Linked DNA regions of Schizosaccharomyces pombe. The protein of the gene in region 1 interacts with the protein of each later gene in a biochemical or structural test. Each region holds a gene or a part of one and is shown in the gene's direction. Other genes may lie near its edges.

What was found. Proteins that work in one complex are often made in the same cells at the same time.
Region 2: the proteins of cdc4 (region 1) and pik1 form a complex in vitro, tested with the Schizosaccharomyces pombe proteins (2 studies listed by BioGRID).
Region 3: the proteins of cdc4 (region 1) and myo2 form a complex in vitro, tested with the Schizosaccharomyces pombe proteins (one study listed by BioGRID).

What each region holds. Positions count from the first base shown.
Region 1 is NC_003424.3:5,326,777-5,332,855, forward strand, and holds cdc4 (myosin II light chain cdc4), read left to right. Parts: upstream 1-2,411; 5' UTR 2,412-2,441; coding exon 2,442-2,472; intron 2,473-2,524; coding exon 2,525-2,656; intron 2,657-2,729; coding exon 2,730-2,870; intron 2,871-2,936; coding exon 2,937-3,029; intron 3,030-3,101; coding exon 3,102-3,130; 3' UTR 3,131-3,742; coding exon of another isoform or gene 3,743-4,003; 3' UTR 4,004-4,048; downstream 4,049-6,079. Other genes in the region: SPOM_SPAP8A3.07C (phospho-2-dehydro-3-deoxyheptonate aldolase), read right to left, coding at 1-1,053, 1,325-1,333; serine/threonine protein phosphatase PP2A scaffold subunit Paa1, read right to left, coding at 3,743-4,003, 4,049-4,386, 4,442-4,542, 4,604-5,507, 5,616-5,721, 5,776-5,823, 5,875-5,889. UniProt on the Schizosaccharomyces pombe protein: Involved in cytokinesis. Required for the formation and function of the contractile ring.
Region 2 is NC_003424.3:5,048,655-5,054,338, reverse strand, and holds pik1 (Golgi-specific 1-phosphatidylinositol 4-kinase, type III-beta Pik1), read left to right. Parts: upstream 1-1,930; 5' UTR 1,931-2,079; coding exon 2,080-2,103; exon of another isoform or gene 2,104-2,152; coding exon 2,153-2,271; exon of another isoform or gene 2,272-2,315; intron 2,316-2,320; coding exon 2,321-2,362; intron 2,363-2,513; exon of another isoform or gene 2,514-2,559; coding exon 2,560-4,930; 3' UTR 4,931-5,184; downstream 5,185-5,684. Other genes in the region: glo3 (ARF GTPase-activating protein), read left to right, coding at 1-1,232. UniProt on the Schizosaccharomyces pombe protein: Acts on phosphatidylinositol (PI) in the first committed step in the production of the second messenger inositol 1,4,5,-trisphosphate. PIK1 is part of a nuclear phosphoinositide cycle and could control cytokinesis through the actin cytoskeleton.
Region 3 is NC_003421.2:1,232,731-1,240,216, reverse strand, and holds myo2 (myosin II heavy chain myo2), read left to right. Parts: upstream 1-1,980; 5' UTR 1,981-2,186; coding exon 2,187-6,767; 3' UTR 6,768-6,986; downstream 6,987-7,486. Other genes in the region: RhoGEF for Rho1, Rgf3, read left to right, coding at 1-832; Smc5-6 complex non-SMC MAGE family subunit Nse3, read right to left, coding at 7,046-7,486. UniProt on the Schizosaccharomyces pombe protein: Required for cell division. It is a component of the cdc12 'spot', a structure thought to mark the site of septation. May work in conjunction with myo3.

The sequences.
Region 1 (6,079 bases):
CATTGGAGCAGTTTGTTCCCAGCTAACACAAGCATCAGTGATACTGACACCGTACTTGAGAGTATCCTTAACGCCAGGACGGATTGGAGCATCTTGACGACCTTCATTGATATGAGATTCAATCATAACACCAACAATGGAAGAGTCGCCATTTCTGATTTGTTCGGCGATGCTCTTGGAGACCTTTGGTTGGTTCAAATGATTCTTGCTTGAGTTGCCATGAGAGCAATCGATCATGATACGAGGAGGAAGGTTGGCCTTCTCAAGATCTTTGCGAACGGCGGCAACGTGCTCAGCATCATAGTTAGGACCCTTCTTACCACCACGCAAAATGATGAAGGTATCCTTGTTGCCCCTGGTCATGGTAATAGCGGCGAGACCTTGTTTAGTAACTCCTAGCATTGTGTGAGGATGGGCGGTAGCACCAATGGCATCAATCGCCACACCAACAGTACCATCAGTACCATTCTTGAAACCAACAGGGAAGGAAAGGGCAGAAGCCAATTCACGATGTAATTGAGACTCGGTAGTACGAGCACCGATAGCACCAAAACTGAGTAAGTCGGCGAAGAATTGGGGAGAAATGTTGTCCAACATCTCACTGGCCAAAGGAATGCCAAAATTGGTAACGTCGCAATACATTTGACGAGCCATCCTAATACCCTTGTTGATAGCAAAAGAACCATCCAAGTTAGGGTCGTTGACCAAACCCTTCCATCCGATAGTAGTACGGGGCTTCTCCAAATAACAACGCATGACAACGCACAAAGCATCCTGAAGCTCGTCAGCTTTGGGCTTCAGCAACTTAGCATAGTCCATGGCCAATTTAGGGTCATGAATGGAGCAAGGACCGACAACAACGATAATTCTGTCATCTTGTTTGTTGAGAATAGCTTGAATCTCCTTTCTGGAGTCAGTGATGACTTTGCGAGAAGTTTCAGAAACAGGAATCTCTTGTTGAACCAAAGCGGCAGGAACCAAAGGGTTGTAACCTAAGACACGGTTGTCATCAAGATGCTCTTGATCGTAAGTTTCACCGCTGGGTAAAAAAACCTAATTGAATAATGTTAGCAAATTGACATTAAAAAAAAAGACCAAACATGCTGGACATAGCAATCAACATAAAGCAATAAAAATTTCAAAAAAAAGAAACAAAAAAATTTAAAATTTCAATTGCCTAAAAATTCATCAGCAAAAACAAATTTGTTATCCGCATAGTAAAATCTACTATATAACTCAATAAGATAACTTTCAGTACTGTTTCTCCGACTGATGAAAATTTTTACTAGCAAAATTCTTTGGATGCCCAATTGGGGTTACTTACCGGAGACATGGCTTATTAAATAGAATTAATAAATTTAGGTCAAAGAGTGCTTCCTAAGTTGTTGAATGCCAAGTAAGTAAACACTATTAAAGGTCCTTTACTACGACGAAGGTTGGTTCTGTCTGAGTTCGAAGCAGCGCCAACGAAAAATATATGTAGTCCAGTAATAAGATGATCCAGTGATAATGGCTCTAAGTCATCGGAACTGCGAAACAAGTAGTAGGCAATTTCTGGACATCATCGCTTAAAAATTTGTTCAAATTTATAAGTCCTTTGTTTTGTATCAATTTCTAGATTTCACTTGCTATTTAATTACTTGAAAGTAAATTGAAGGTTGAGCGTAAAAACATAAAATAAAGCCTTTTTTCGGTTTCTTATTAATTCATAAATTAATGTTAAAAGGGATTGATATATAATATTTAATAATTACGTTTCCTACAATGTTTACTGTCATGTACCACTGGGATATGAGAATATATACATTGCTTATCAAAATACTTATTTCCAAGATTCGCTCAATTATATAAACCACGCATTAAAGCAACATATAAAAACATATTGATTCGTTTATTTTACTTTTACTCAATGCATATTTTGTGAGCCCGAAAATTTAGATATACCATCTGTGACTGCCTTTTTGGTACACAAACGCCGAAAATTAGAAGTCTGGTGGACAGCGTTGGCTTTCCGGTAGATTAGTCTTTTGAGGTTAACAAGTTAATGATATCTGATATTCTGATGTGATTATTGAATTTATGAAGTGCATCAGTACTGTATTTCTCGTGTTCCGGTGACTCTCGTATTTTGTATTGCACTAGAAATAGTGAAATCGCCAGCCATTTCATAATTTATCAAGTAGCTCGACATTAGTATGACTATTCATATTCTGTATACGAATGATGTTCTAAATTAAAATCTGGCAAAGTAAATGACAATTCTGTTCATATAAGCTGGTTTACATAGCTCTACGTTCTTTAGTAAATTACTAAACAGATCGCTATACAGTAAACATTATCATGGCAACGGTTGCTATGGGGCTTATAGGTGCGTGTACACAGATTACAGTCGACTTAGTACACTTACCTTCATCCTAACAATCCATTTAGAATAGTCAAACATGTCGACAGACGATTCACCTTATAAACAAGGTAATAACTACTTTTTGAAATCATTTCAAAATGTTTATTAACGAAAAGATAGCTTTTTCTTTATTTGACCGCCATGGAACTGGTCGCATCCCCAAAACGTCCATTGGTGATCTTTTAAGAGCGTGTGGACAAAATCCTACGCTGGCTGAGATTACTGAAATTGAATCTACTTTGCCCGCAGAAGGTATGATTTCTTGTTATGGGTTTGGAGAGTTATACTCCTTAGCCGTGCATTAAGTGACAATACTAATTGGTAGTCGATATGGAACAATTCCTTCAAGTGTTAAATCGTCCCAATGGGTTTGATATGCCTGGTGACCCAGAGGAATTCGTGAAGGGCTTCCAGGTGTTTGATAAAGATGCCACTGGCATGATTGGAGTGGGTGAATTGCGCTATGGTATGTATTTATAGAGATCTATCCTTTTTTCAGATTGATAAAAAAATGCGAAACTAATTGTATCAGTTTTAACTTCTTTGGGTGAAAAACTCAGCAACGAAGAAATGGACGAGTTATTAAAGGGTGTTCCCGTAAAAGATGGCATGGTTAATTATCACGGTATGCTCTATTACTACTCTGGGCTTCGGCAATCAACTACCTATACTTAATTATACTAACTGCTTCCTTTAGATTTCGTTCAAATGATTCTTGCCAATTAATTAAATCTACATAGTTTGCATAATTTACCCGGCATATGTTTCTCCTTTATTATTTACACCTTTATTTCAATTTTATGTCTTCAATAGTTTACTTTCGTTCAGCTTTTCCATCTGATACACTTGGGACTATGAAGCAATATGTTCCTGAATACAGATAACTGGACTTTTCGATACTCGCAGGAATTTCTACACATATCGTTTAGCATACGGAAATAGAGATATCCTTCTATATTCGTATATTTATGAATATGATTAACAACCATTTGTTATCTCATGCAAATGACCTTATATCTCAGCTGCTTAAATTGTTTGAATCTCTCCAGATGTAAATATAAGTTTTCATTCAAAATTACACTTTTCGTAAGTAATTACGGTTGATGCCAGCTTTCTTGATGCATTCGGCTCCAATTTTGCCATATCGTGTATATCTTGTATATCTAATTTACTGTGTGTCAATACGATGCTTTGAATTAGATGTAGGGCTTGACACTTGATGTCGAACGAATGGCCAGAGTCAAGACAGTCCATTCTTTTGCATTTTTACATAGTGAACACAAATCATAAAGGTAAAACTTTTGGCTCATTTAGACATGCAATCATATAACCCAACAATTAGTCATTTGTTTGCTCTAAGGCCTGAGTAGCAAAATATTGAACATCAGGGTCATTATCTTTTGTAAGTTGTTCGAGCAATGGGATGATTTGCTGTTCATATACGGTCGAGTCACCACCAGCTGCCAAAACAGGCTTAAGAACTTCAAACGCCTTGGCAACGTTAAAGCGAATATTAGGAATAGGGTCATTAACCAACTGTTCCAAAGTTGGAAGAATTTGTTTTTCAATTACTTCAGCATTCAATGCAGGTGCGATTTCCTAAAATACGTTAGAACTGGAAAAAAGCAAAAAAGAAAAACTTACACTGATCGCAAAAATAGTTGTCATTCGGTATAAATAATTTGGATGGCTTCGCATAGCCAAAAACTTTGGAATAATTGTCTCAGTTGCCCATTCCAACCCAAAAATTTCCGTAAGTTTTCGCAAATTCTTTATCGCAGCTTCACGAATAGAATATACATGGTCCTCTAACCATGACATACATAAATTGCCCATTTTCTCATTAAAAAATTCGACCCCAAGCTGCTGAGCAAGTAGTGGAATGTAGTCAATGATAGCAAGACGAACACGCCATTGTTTATCTTCAGCAAGTGTAACAATTGCAGGCAATAAAGATTGTGAAAGTAATTCGATACCAACGACTAAAGTGAGTTAGTATAACTGTAGCAATAGCTATATTTTGAATTTGCAATTTACCTTTGTTTACAACTTCCAATTTCGAAATAATGTTAAGACGAACTTCAGGGTTTTCATCTTTAAGTAATTCCAAAAACATTGGTAAAAGATACTCTGTAGTCCTAAATATAACGATTAGTAAAATGAGGTTTTTAAAAGAAAAGTTATTTTTAGCAGACATACTTTTCCTTTCCTAATTGTGGGGCGAGAGCACCTATGTTCATCCCTAAAGCAGCACGGACATGTTGAGCGGGATCATTAATTAACTCTTGAATAACTGGAATAATCTCTTCAAGAACAATTCGCTTATCCAACAATTCGCAAAATCCTGGTATTTGAGTAGCAATAGCACGGCGGACTTCCTGCTCGGTATCCTTCATGAGCAGTACGAATGGTTTAATAAGTTCATCTTTAATAAGAGATGGTCCAACTACTTTAGCAAGTTTTACAAAATTAGCAGCAACCATATAACGTGTTCTCCAGCTGCTATCCGAAACAAAAGACCTTAATGGTTGAAGCAAATAGTGACGAATTTCCGAGTCAGATTTTAATACCTCCGCCAAAGAAACCATAATGTCGAAAGAAAGGAGCCGAACTGAGTCTTGGTCATCATTAGAAAGGGAGTTGAACAATGGAATGAATTCGTCAATAGCCTCCTGTTTAGTTACCAAAAAAACAAACTTGGCACAGTTCGTTGCTGCAGGACGACGGACCATGGGAGCTTCGTCGTGACATAGATGACTAAAACTTTGACGAAGAGAGACTTTGACAGCAGGATTTTCTGACTGAGAATATGCCGCGCAGTAAAGCCCAGCAGAGGACGCACGAGAGGTAAACCACTCAGCGGTTGAAAGACGTTGAACCAATGGAACAAAATATTGCTCTAATTGTTCTTGGGATAGGCAAATACATACTTTATTGAGAGAGTCAACGGCTTTATCGCGGACTACCGTTTCTTCAGTTGCAGCAAGATTTTCAAGGGGAGACAAAAGGACATGCGCATACTCAGGGCCTCCAACATAATCTACAAAATTTCCTAACTGGTCGGCGAGAGCTGATAGGACTTCGTCCTCATCGTCAATCGATTCTGTATTCAAGGAATGTTAGCCGACAAACATACATCGTTTATTAAAAAATATAAAGAATTTTAAAAATTTAAACCTATAGTTCCATAATTTTATTATTGAATGCATACCATCTAAAAAGGGAATCAACTCATCCCTTGTACGTTCAGGACCTAAAGCGAGAGCAATTGTCGATAACCGTTCCAAAGCATTGAGCCTATAAGTAATTTCATCATGCTTTAACAATAGTCAGAGTTGAACATATCAGACGTAAAACAATTTGTTACCAACCTTTAACTCATCAATCAAAACAGCAATCGGATACAAATCGTTCACTTGCTATAAATAGTCGTGGTTAATAAATTGTAAAAGAGACATTTTGTAACACACATTCTCTGTTTGCATTTTATATAATAGAACAACTCGTTCTTAGCAAACAAGCAAATAAAGTGGGTAGGAAGTTTTAAACTTTTCGAGGTGAAGAAGGAGTGTGTGTTACAGCGGACGCTACCAAATTGAAACAGTTTTCCAAGCAAGTATCTCAAAGGTTTTCCTTAACATGAATCATTTTGAATAATTCTAAAAAACTATTTTG
Region 2 (5,684 bases), 280 kb from region 1:
TTCGTGTAATGCGGGTCGGTGGCAATGAAAACGCCCGTAATTACTTTAAGCGTCATGGTGGGGTTTCACTTCTGAATTCCAAGGATTGTCGTTTGAAATATTCTTCCAAAACTGCAAAACAATATCTTGAAAAACTAAAGTCTCTTGCGGTAGAAGACGAGGCTAATTATCCCGATATATTGGATATGGATTTCCTTTCCAACACTCATGAAGGCAGTTCTGCTGCTGACACTACTAATGAAGATGATGACTTTTTTTCTGCTTGGGATAAAGCATCTGTGAAGAAATCGGACGATAATCTTGATGACAAAACTGACTTAGCTTCTACTAGTTCATCGGTAGTTGTTGAAAGCGGCGAGAAAGATGAGCCTGTCGTCGTCACTGAAGAGAAGACTATGGTTTCTCCCCCTTCTCGTCCAGATTCTACTTCCACTACCAAATCAAAAACTTCTTCTATTTCTTCTGCTCGTGCCCGGCCTATCCGTGCTTCCTCACGCCCTACTGCTAGTAAATTGGGTGCTAGTAGACCTCAGAAGCTCGGTATCAAAAAGGCGAATGCCGATATTGACTTCGATGAGTTCGAAAAAGCTGTATTGTCTTCCGAATCTGCGCCAACCAAAAAACCTGCTGCTGTTGCGTCTAAGGAAAGCACCGTTGATACATTGGTAGATAATGGAGTCGAGGAAGTCAAGGAGTCCACTTCGACCACTGTGCAAGGAAAGCCGGTAAAACCTGTTTTGAAATCTGCTGCATCCGCAAAGTCAACTAAGTCTGACGACTCAAACCTCAATGCAAACTTTGCACGTTTGGGATTCGGCCAGTTTGCTGCTGCATCCAATGCGCGTGCTAAGGCCGCTGCAAAGGCACGAGAACTGAAGAAAAATGAGGTTAATGCACCGACATACGCACGAGATCACTTTGCTTCTCAGAAGTCTATTTCATCTGATCAATATTTTGGTCGTGGATCGTTTGATCCCGAGGCAGCTGCCGAAGCTCAAGAACGTTTATCTTCTTTCCGAGATGCCACAGCTATTTCTTCCAAGTCCTATTTTGGTGAGGAAGAAGATGAAAACGAGGAGGGTGAATCGTCTCATCGTCCAGATAGCGCATACCTTCGTGATATAGCTGAAACTGCTACTGAAGACATTGAAGCTATTAAAGTAGCTATTCACCAAGGCGCAGAAAAACTTTCAGATTTTATTCAAAAAGTTGGTGCTCGATACAATTTTTAATTCATCCGTCCAACTTTAGCTCAAGTAGCAAGAACCTGTCTATCTGTGCCAGTATCTGTTCCCCATCTTCTCAAATTTACTTCGACGACCAAAACTAATTAGTTCAAATTGAGTTATGCCTATTCTAACCAGTTCAATATTCCGCTACTAGTATCTTACCCTTATTGATCTGACCTTGTAACAAATGCGGTTTCTTCTCGTCAATTTCTCGTGGAACCATTTTTTTTAATATTGATAGAAATTATCTAAAACTATCACATCAACTTGTATAAAGGAAAGGTTTTGAATGCATTAAACAGCCATTGCGAACAGCTACTAGATTCTCTGAATTAAAAACTACATTTTTCACTGGCATGTAGCTTATCTGGATGCTGAATACCCACTTTCTTTTTCAGCTTTGCTTCAAGGTTTCGCTGTAAGCGGAAAGTGATTTATAGGTCTCTAGGAACTGTCCTTTTCTTGAATTTTAGATAGATTAATTGATGTAGCATTCTTTTTCGTTGCAGTGATAGTAAAGCTTTGTATTGTCAATTAACAGTCCTGTTTTAGTATTATTAAAACTACATAATTAATATTGAGCTCTACTGAGAATTTATTTAGTAATATTTGGAATTGTAACAAAAATTCAATTTTTGCAACTGGCATGTTTACATTTTGAGATGATGACCTACCCTCCCCTTTTAGTGGATACTTGGCCTACGCTACTTTCCCCATTCATACTACGGTGAAGGCTAAGTGAACGAAAAATCGCATTTTTTAAGCCTTACATGGCATATATTATTTAATTTTAATTAGCATCAACATCGACTTAATATATGACGATGTTTATGCAGCTTCAAGGTTAAACATGCCATCTTCGAATTCGGGAAATGTATGACTTTTGATCGTTGTGTTAGCTGCGTAATTAACGCTATTTCTAGGAGTTACTTTTAAGATTCTTTGAGTCTGCCCATTTCACGAGTCAACTTTGTGTTGCATATCTTTCACGCTATCCTAACAATATTGGCATTCATCACTTTCTTTGCGAAAAACTAGCAACGTATGTCTACCGTATCATTTCTTTGTTTTTTATGTCTAACACATATTAGATTTCCTTATGAAGAGATAGAATTTTTTATTCCTCAATTAATGTACGTTTATTTCGATAAATAAAGAAAAATTTTTGGGGGGAAGGAAAGTACCAAAAAGTCGAGCTCATAAGTCAGTGAAAGCCGAGTATATGACTCATATGCCTATTTCATAATTTAATGACTCTCTTACCTTTTGATTTTCTTTCCTTCAAACGTTTATTCCGTTGTGTTCGTGCATCTCTAATATCATACTGTAGTCATCTCGTCCTTAACAAAGATTCTGAAAGCGTTGCTTTAGAAGAATTTATCATTTCTCAATGTGAACAAAATACACAATGCGCACTCATTACATTTTGGTATTTGCAAGCCCATATGGTGGATCTAGGTTTACAGCCGCATTCTTCTTGTTTTAAAATATGTAAACGACTTTACAATCGTATTCAGATTTTGGTTTTCATGTCATCATCATCGTTAATACAGTCCCAACAAAAAATCTCCGAAAATGTAACCCCTGCCCTAATCCTTTCAGGCATCATGCTAGGTGGTGTTTGTGTGCCTGAACTACTAAAAAAAGCTGGCCCCATTGCAATTGCTCAAGGCCGTAAAGCCCCTAGGCAAGATCCAGATGAATCAGATGTTGATGTTTTACGCCGTCTTTCCACCGAACCTCGATATTCTCTGGACGTATTACGTTCGTCTTTGAACAACTCTATTGTCGAGCAACATTCCGAAGTATCCCTTAGACTAAAAGCTCCAGAACTAACCCGCACCCATTCATATCAATCATCAGCTACATTATCTATTGACGAACAGCGTCGTGTTCTACGCTCTAATTATTTTCAACAAGAAATTCAATTTCTTTTTGCTTTACAAGATATATCTATCCGTCTCATCATTGTACCTAGACAAGCTCGCCTTTCTTCATTACGCGCCGAACTTGCTCTTTTAAATAACAACCTTCCAGCCGATGTGAACATACCGCTTTTACGATCATATCATAAAGAAGTGAGTCATAAAATCGTTCGCATTGATCCTAAAGAGGCTACCATACTCAATTCTGCCGAACGAGTACCTTATCTTATTATGGTTGAGGTCCTATCTGGTGAACTCAGCTTCGAGCCACAATCGAAGAAAAATAAGGCTAAGGTGCAAAAGATTGTCTCTCATAAAAACCAAAGAAAAAGGTGGTTTGACCTCACAGATGTCGATCCTTATACGAACCTTCAAGACAGTACCGACAATGATATTTCAGAGTCGGAAAGTGAGGGAGGGGATTTAAGTATGTCTCCTCTGATAAAAGGGTTGGTACCGGACACTCTTTCTTTGAGTAAGTCATTCTCTTCGTTTGGTAATGTATCTTTGCAGGTACCGTCCTCTCATAGAGATACCGATGTCGTCCTGTTATCTGGGCGCCACTCTGATTCTGATGGAAATGGCGCCTTAAAAAGAAGTAAAATCTATGCTTCAGAAATAACAGCGAGAATGCGAGCTGCGGCAACTATGCTAAGTCAGCTTGATGCTGAAGGTAGCAGACGTCCCAAAGCTGAGACTGAACGAATAAAAAATAGCATTATTCTTGACATGCAAAGACTCGAAGAAGAGCGCCTTAATGAACCATCCATTTATCCTGTTTCAGTCGACATATCATGCGCAGAAGATCTGCGATTTGGCAAAGAAACTCAAAAGGCAGAACGGAAAGGTGATAGAGATGATCCCAGTGCCGCTACATTCCAAGAAGATTGGTATGCCAAGAAGGAAAGGATAAGAAAGTCTTCTCCTTATGGTCATTATCCCAATTGGGATTTGGTCAGTGTGATTGTTAAAACGGGTGCGGATCTCCGGCAAGAGACATTTGCCTGTCAACTTATATACGCGTTTCAGCGTGTTTGGCTAGAGTGTAAAGAAAAGGTTTGGGTTCGAAGGATGAAAATTTTAGTGACCGGCGACAATAGTGGCTTAATAGAAACGATTACAAATGCCATTAGTGTTCACTCTATTAAAAAGAATTTGACGAAACAGCTTCGGGAAGCTGAACTAGCCCAAGGAAAAATTGCTGGTAAAAATGTTGTTACATTGAAGGATTATTTTATAAAGCAGTTTGGTGATCCCAACAGCAGCCGGTATCGACAGGCACAGACAAATTTCCTTCAATCATTAGTGGCATATAGCATTATATCATACTTACTACAGTTAAAGGATAGACATAATGGTAACGTTCTTATTGATAGTGAAGGTCATATTATACATATTGATTTTGGCTTTTTACTTACGAATACACCGGGGAATGTTGGCTTTGAAAGCGCTCCATTTAAGCTTACGGCGGATTATTTAGAAATCCTTGACGACCGGTTTGATGAATATCGTTCCTTGATGAAAGCTGCGTTTAAATCTGTTCGAAAAAACGCTGATCAGATCATTTTGCTTGTTGAAGTTATGCAAAATAATTCCACAATGCCTTGCTTTCGTGCTGGTGAAAACACAAGTGCACAACTTTTGCAACGTTTTCAACTACAGCTTGGTGACAAAGAATGTGATGACTTTGTGGATTTGTTGATTCAAAAGGCAAATTGTAGTGTTTGGACGAGACTTTATGATCTGTTTCAAAATATTACGAACGGAATTTACTAGTAAGTGGCTATTCGTTTTCTCTTTTCATTTTTTTCGAATACAGCTACGGAGCTTCCACACTTGAACCATACTGCTGGTTGGCTTTTTTAACTTTCAATATTGTATTAAAATCACCACATTCACCATGGTTCGTAAATTTGGTAATTTTTTTGTTAGCTAGATTAGCTATATTAATGCATTAAAAATATTTTATGTGATCTATATGATTTATCATACCCACTAGAAACCCTTGCAATTATAATATACTATTAAAGCATACTGTCTAAATTAACTGCATTTCTAAGTTAGCAAACAATTTGGCGTAGTTAAATCCGGGTTAAAGAATCCTTTCGCACTTCCGTATATTGACATACCAAATTTTAAAGTAAGATTAGGTACTGCAACCCACTTCAATTTACCCTTTACCATCAAATTGAAAAATTAGGCGCAAACAGTAATTGTATATTAGAACTTGGAATTTTTTTCTTTTCATTTATAATTTTGTGTTATAATCCTTTGTTCCTTCTTCTACTAGGGGTTGTTTCTTTGCACAATATTGTAGTTGACATTGGTTAATGGGGTATCTTCATATTGATTACAGTATTCGTGATATAACAAAGAAATTTGGTAGGAAAATTTTAGTGTTGATTAATAGTTTTTCTTATCAGGATTATATCCAACTGAGGTGAATTATTACTTGAGACTTTACATCATTAAATTTTATGCAGGTATTAAGTCGTGATTATATCAGTCAAACAAGTACCTTTTGAATTCA
Region 3 (7,486 bases), on another chromosome or scaffold:
TTATGCTCATAAATTAAGTCGTATTATTGAAATGGGTCTGATCGAATCCAAAATTGCAGTTGTCATTGGAACTCCGCATGCCGTATCATTCTTTAAAATAGGTAAATTGTCTGAGGGGGCTTCTGTTAAACGTGAGCGAACTTTGGTTTTTTATAAAGAGGGACTCGGTAATACTACAACCATAATTTGCTGTGAACCAGTGATCGGCTTAGGACATAACTATCAGAAAACATATGCCTTCAAGAGAAAAGATGTTACTTCCTTCAGAACTCTGGATGATTTTCACGTAACGGCTAACTGTCATTCAATTGATTGCTTTAAGTATTCAATTGCTCTTTGTCACAATAAAGGCATTGACGTTCTGCGTTTGGACCCTAAATTAGCAGTTGGTTTTCCAAGCCCTTCAGTGCTTAATGATACGTTGTTTCGGAACCGAATCAACAACAGTAAGCCGCTTGGCGTCTTTCGCATCCACGATCCTAGCTTATTTGCATGCTGCTATCAATTCGGTGCCGTGTTTGTCAATGGAGAGGGTAGTATGGTTAATAAAGAGTGTTGGTTTGATTGGATTGGCAAACCGAACTCTGTTACCAGCTGTCATGGATATCTCATTGCATTTAATGATGAATTTGTCGAAATATGGAACACGCGAACTAGGAAACTTAATCAAATTATCCAAGGAAATGACATTAAATACTACCCTAGTAACAGTGATTGGCTAGCCAATGGGAAATATATAATGTTTGGCATGGTTCATCCTCAGTATCACGATCGCCATTTGATACTCGCTTTAAATAAGGCAAAAACAAACTCCTTCATAATTGAAGATTGATAATTATCATATTTATTACAAGTTTTCTTGCCATGATTGTCTTTTTTACTCATCCATACTTTTGAATATCGGAAACGTTTATCTTATTTTGTTTTACGGAACATCCTGCATCTTTCGAATCATATTTTATCGCAGCCTTGAAATTTTATTTCTTCTTTTTTTTTTTTTTTACATTTCCCTACCCATTTTATCACAAAGGAATATTAAAATCTGCATGCATTAACATTTTTTAATTACTTAAAATGATCGCTACTATCATTATGTTCAGTGTTAAGCCAAAATTGGCTTATTGTACAAGTTGCATAAACTTGCCGACTACAGTTGATGAAAACAGAGAACATTGTTGTTTTTTTACGTAACTGGTTATGGTATTCTGCATGTTTTGATCATAAGTTTAAAGATGTGGTTACACATTGAAGCACCATGCTTTCTTTCAAACACTAACTGAAGCAACTAACATTTCTGTATATTTACTTATTGATTATTACCAGGGCCATAGCTGTAGATGGTCAGTAAGCACATAATAATTACTGATTGCGATTATTAGCTAGAGCGTGTTCTTATAATTATTCAGTAAGAGGCATGATTAGAGTGCTATATATAAAATGTAGATAAATAAATGCCGAGTTTAGTTATTTGCTTTAAAAGTTGTGTTCGGTACGATGAGGAACATATTATTTGCGTATCTAGTCACAAATTACTCATATATCTGTAATAGCGGGAGTTTTTTATACAATCATTTTACCTAAAAGCACGGGGGAACATGAAATTTCGATTAAACCGTAACCCCTAATCCTACGTTCATTTGATGTTTTGAGTATTAGTACAATGTATTTTCAATTATTACTTAATATCTTCAATCTTGATGAAAGTAAAGCTTTAAAAATTTGTCAGGACTTTAATTGCAAAAGACCGAGTATATAATGACCTCCATCTATTAATATTATTTCTTTTAAAAGATATATATACCTTCTTAATTGTGATATTAAAATCATTATGTTATAGGAATGTTTCTGGATGCTACCTTAACCTATACTAAATGTTTTAACGCAAATATGATCAAGTACATAAACGTTCGATTAACGCATGCGTTAATCGAATGTTCAAGTGCTTAAATCATTAATTGCTGTGCGTTCAACGGGGAGTACAAAAAGTATCCAACAACATAGTTCTTTAACGTTTTCTCTGTGCATTTGTTGATCCTTCTTTTCGGATATATCTATTGCTATCTTTTTGGATTTTTTCACTCTTTGATTTTTGGTCTATCCTTATTGTTTTACAAGGTTTTGGTATTGTACACCGCATTGTTTATTTTCAGGAAAGGCGGTAAATAACCGTCTTAGAGAGTAGCCCGATGACAGAAGTAATATCTAATAAAATAACTGCAAAAGATGGTGCAACTAGTCTGAAGGATATTGATGATAAACGATGGGTTTGGATTTCCGACCCAGAGACTGCCTTTACCAAGGCTTGGATTAAAGAGGATCTGCCAGACAAGAAATATGTTGTTCGGTATAATAATTCCAGGGATGAGAAGATCGTTGGTGAGGATGAAATTGATCCGGTGAATCCTGCCAAGTTTGATAGAGTCAATGACATGGCTGAGTTGACATACTTAAACGAGCCTGCAGTCACATACAATCTTGAACAGAGATATCTCTCTGATCAAATTTATACCTATTCTGGGCTCTTTCTCGTTGCGGTCAATCCTTATTGTGGACTACCAATCTATACGAAGGACATCATTCAATTGTACAAAGATAAAACACAAGAGCGCAAGCTACCTCATGTCTTCGCAATCGCGGATTTAGCATACAATAACCTTTTAGAAAATAAGGAAAATCAATCGATTCTTGTAACTGGTGAGTCCGGCGCAGGTAAAACAGAGAATACCAAAAGAATCATCCAATATCTTGCAGCAATTGCTAGCTCGACTACCGTTGGCTCTAGTCAGGTTGAAGAGCAGATCATTAAAACGAATCCTGTGCTCGAATCATTTGGTAATGCTCGTACCGTACGCAACAACAATTCTTCTCGTTTTGGAAAATTCATTAAAGTTGAGTTTTCTTTGAGTGGGGAAATTTCGAATGCCGCCATAGAATGGTATCTTCTTGAAAAATCTCGCGTTGTTCATCAGAACGAGTTTGAAAGAAACTACCATGTTTTTTATCAGCTTTTAAGTGGTGCTGATACTGCTCTCAAGAACAAACTTCTTTTAACCGATAACTGTAATGATTATCGATATTTGAAGGATTCGGTTCACATTATTGATGGAGTTGACGATAAAGAAGAGTTTAAAACTCTTTTAGCTGCTTTTAAAACTCTTGGATTTGACGATAAAGAGAACTTTGATTTATTTAATATACTTTCCATTATTCTACATATGGGAAATATTGATGTCGGTGCTGATCGCTCTGGTATAGCTCGTCTTCTCAATCCTGATGAGATTGACAAGCTCTGTCATTTGCTTGGTGTGTCTCCGGAGTTATTTTCACAAAATCTTGTTCGACCTCGTATTAAAGCAGGCCATGAATGGGTTATCAGCGCTCGAAGTCAAACTCAAGTCATTTCGTCCATTGAAGCATTAGCAAAAGCCATATACGAAAGGAATTTTGGATGGCTGGTAAAGCGACTTAACACTTCCTTGAACCATTCCAATGCCCAAAGCTACTTTATTGGTATTTTAGATATCGCCGGTTTCGAAATCTTTGAGAAAAACAGTTTTGAACAACTTTGCATTAATTACACAAATGAAAAGTTGCAACAATTCTTTAACCATCACATGTTCGTATTGGAGCAAGAAGAATATATGAAAGAAGAAATTGTATGGGATTTCATTGATTTTGGACATGATTTACAGCCGACTATTGATTTAATCGAGAAAGCAAACCCAATAGGTATTCTTTCATGTTTGGATGAAGAATGTGTTATGCCGAAAGCAACTGATGCTACGTTTACTTCTAAACTTGATGCTCTTTGGAGGAACAAGTCGCTAAAATATAAACCTTTTAAGTTTGCCGATCAAGGTTTTATTTTGACTCATTATGCCGCTGATGTTCCTTACAGTACAGAAGGTTGGCTGGAGAAGAACACCGATCCTTTGAATGAAAACGTTGCTAAGTTGCTTGCGCAATCTACTAACAAGCATGTCGCTACACTATTTTCTGATTATCAGGAAACTGAGACTAAAACTGTTAGGGGAAGGACGAAAAAGGGCCTTTTTCGAACTGTTGCTCAAAGGCATAAAGAGCAGCTCAATCAGCTTATGAATCAATTTAACTCGACCCAACCTCACTTTATTCGTTGTATTGTTCCAAACGAAGAAAAGAAAATGCACACCTTTAATAGACCCCTCGTTTTAGGACAACTTCGATGTAATGGTGTTTTGGAAGGAATCAGAATCACAAGGGCTGGTTTTCCTAACCGTTTACCATTTAATGATTTTAGAGTCAGATATGAGATAATGGCGCATTTACCAACAGGTACCTATGTGGAATCTCGACGTGCTTCTGTCATGATTTTGGAGGAGTTGAAAATTGACGAAGCATCTTATCGAATTGGTGTTTCAAAAATATTTTTCAAAGCAGGTGTTTTAGCAGAATTAGAGGAGAGGCGCGTAGCGACTTTACAAAGACTGATGACTATGCTACAAACAAGGATCCGTGGCTTTCTTCAAAGAAAAATTTTTCAAAAGCGATTGAAGGACATACAAGCCATCAAATTACTACAAGCAAATTTGCAAGTGTACAATGAATTTAGAACTTTTCCTTGGGCTAAGTTATTTTTCAATCTAAGGCCCTTATTAAGTAGTACTCAAAATGATAAGCAGCTTAAAAAGCGAGATGCTGAAATCATAGAGCTGAAGTACGAGCTGAAAAAACAACAGAATTCAAAATCTGAGGTAGAGCGTGATCTCGTCGAGACCAACAATTCTTTAACTGCTGTTGAAAATTTGCTTACTACTGAACGTGCGATAGCCCTTGATAAGGAGGAAATATTACGTCGAACACAGGAAAGGCTTGCAAACATAGAAGATTCGTTTAGCGAAACAAAACAGCAAAATGAAAATTTGCAACGAGAGTCAGCGTCATTGAAACAGATTAATAACGAATTAGAAAGTGAGTTACTAGAAAAAACTTCCAAGGTTGAGACTTTGTTATCAGAACAGAACGAACTGAAAGAAAAACTGAGTTTGGAAGAGAAGGATTTGCTAGATACAAAGGGAGAACTTGAGTCTTTACGTGAGAACAATGCAACTGTTTTATCAGAAAAAGCAGAGTTCAATGAACAATGTAAAAGTTTACAGGAAACTATCGTTACCAAGGATGCTGAACTTGATAAACTCACTAAATATATTTCTGACTATAAAACTGAAATTCAAGAAATGAGACTGACAAATCAGAAGATGAATGAAAAGAGTATTCAGCAGGAAGGTTCTTTATCTGAGAGTCTCAAACGAGTCAAAAAATTAGAACGTGAAAATTCTACTCTTATAAGCGACGTCTCTATTTTAAAACAGCAGAAAGAAGAGTTAAGCGTCTTGAAAGGAGTGCAAGAGTTAACAATAAATAACTTAGAAGAGAAGGTTAATTATTTGGAAGCCGATGTCAAACAGCTTCCGAAATTGAAGAAAGAACTAGAATCCTTGAATGACAAAGATCAACTTTATCAGCTCCAGGCTACCAAAAATAAAGAACTGGAAGCCAAAGTTAAAGAATGTTTAAATAACATCAAATCGTTAACGAAAGAGCTTGAAAATAAGGAAGAGAAATGCCAAAATTTGTCAGATGCTTCTTTAAAGTACATTGAATTGCAAGAAATCCATGAGAATTTACTTCTTAAAGTTAGCGACTTGGAGAATTACAAGAAAAAATATGAAGGACTTCAGCTGGACTTGGAGGGGTTAAAAGACGTCGATACAAACTTTCAGGAACTTTCGAAAAAACATCGTGATTTGACCTTTAATCATGAAAGTCTTCTTCGGCAATCGGCGTCCTACAAGGAAAAGCTTTCGTTGGCGAGCTCCGAGAATAAAGATCTCTCTAATAAGGTATCGAGTTTGACGAAGCAAGTAAATGAACTTTCTCCAAAAGCATCTAAGGTTCCCGAACTTGAGAGGAAGATTACTAACTTAATGCACGAGTACAGTCAACTCGGTAAGACCTTTGAAGATGAAAAGCGTAAAGCATTGATAGCTAGTCGAGATAACGAAGAATTACGCTCTTTGAAATCAGAGTTGGAGAGTAAACGAAAGCTTGAAGTTGAGTATCAAAAGGTACTAGAAGAAGTAAAAACAACTAGAAGCCTCCGTTCGGAAGTCACCCTTTTAAGGAACAAAGTTGCTGATCATGAAAGTATACGTAGTAAGCTTTCAGAAGTAGAAATGAAGCTGGTTGATACTCGAAAGGAACTGAATTCTGCTCTTGATTCCTGCAAGAAGCGAGAGGCAGAGATACATCGCCTTAAAGAACATAGACCGTCCGGAAAGGAGAATAATATACCGGCTGTCAAAACTACGGAACCCGTTTTGAAAAATATTCCACAACGAAAGACAATTTTTGATTTACAGCAAAGAAATGCAAATCAAGCGTTATACGAGAACTTGAAACGAGACTACGACCGTCTTAATCTTGAGAAGCACAACTTAGAGAAGCAAGTTAATGAGTTAAAAGGGGCCGAAGTATCACCTCAACCTACTGGCCAATCTTTGCAACATGTCAACTTGGCTCATGCTATTGAATTGAAAGCTCTGAAGGATCAAATAAATAGCGAAAAGGCAAAAATGTTTTCCGTTCAAGTACAATATGAAAAACGTGAGCAGGAGTTACAAAAACGAATTGCTTCTTTGGAAAAAGTGAACAAAGATTCGTTAATAGATGTGAGAGCTTTACGAGATCGCATTGCAAGCCTTGAAGATGAGTTGCGCGCCGCATGAAGTTAAATGATTTTGTAATGATGAAACCTTTATTAATTATATTATATATACTGACATATACTTCTCTTATAAGTTTACGAGCTATTTTTTTATTTTTTTTATTTAACAGCTGTACATAATATTCCCGCTATATAACCAAATATACATCTTAAATTTATATCGAGATATTAGCACGCATATAGGAACTTAAATAATATTACGAATTTTTTTGTAGTAGCGGAGTAAGTATACAATAGCATTAACATGAGACGAGCATAATGTAAAAACCTAAGAGTCATCTATGCTGCACTTGAGGAAGATTGATTCTGATACTCCTGCCGATATTCGGTTAATAGAGCATCCATATCAATGTCTGAATCCGGAAAGAACTCTGTAACGAATGATTTCAAGCCTTCAATAGAAATTTCAGTTACTGCACGGGATCCAATATAATAAACAAACTGGTTATGGGTATCATCTTTCACTCTATCTAAATACCCTTGGCGAACTAAAAGAGATAACGAGCGAGTAATATCCAGATGCAAAGGGGTTGTTTCTTCCTCTGTTAGAAGTTCCTGCAAAAAAGATTGCAGTTCTGAATGTCCTACACTGCAATGAGAAACGGCTATGAATGCGATCACAGTCATCAAAAATCCATAATAAGCAGTATCCAATACCGAATCTACAATTAAGCGAGAATCCTTTTGAAGTTCCATAGGAAGGGTAGACCTCAACACCCA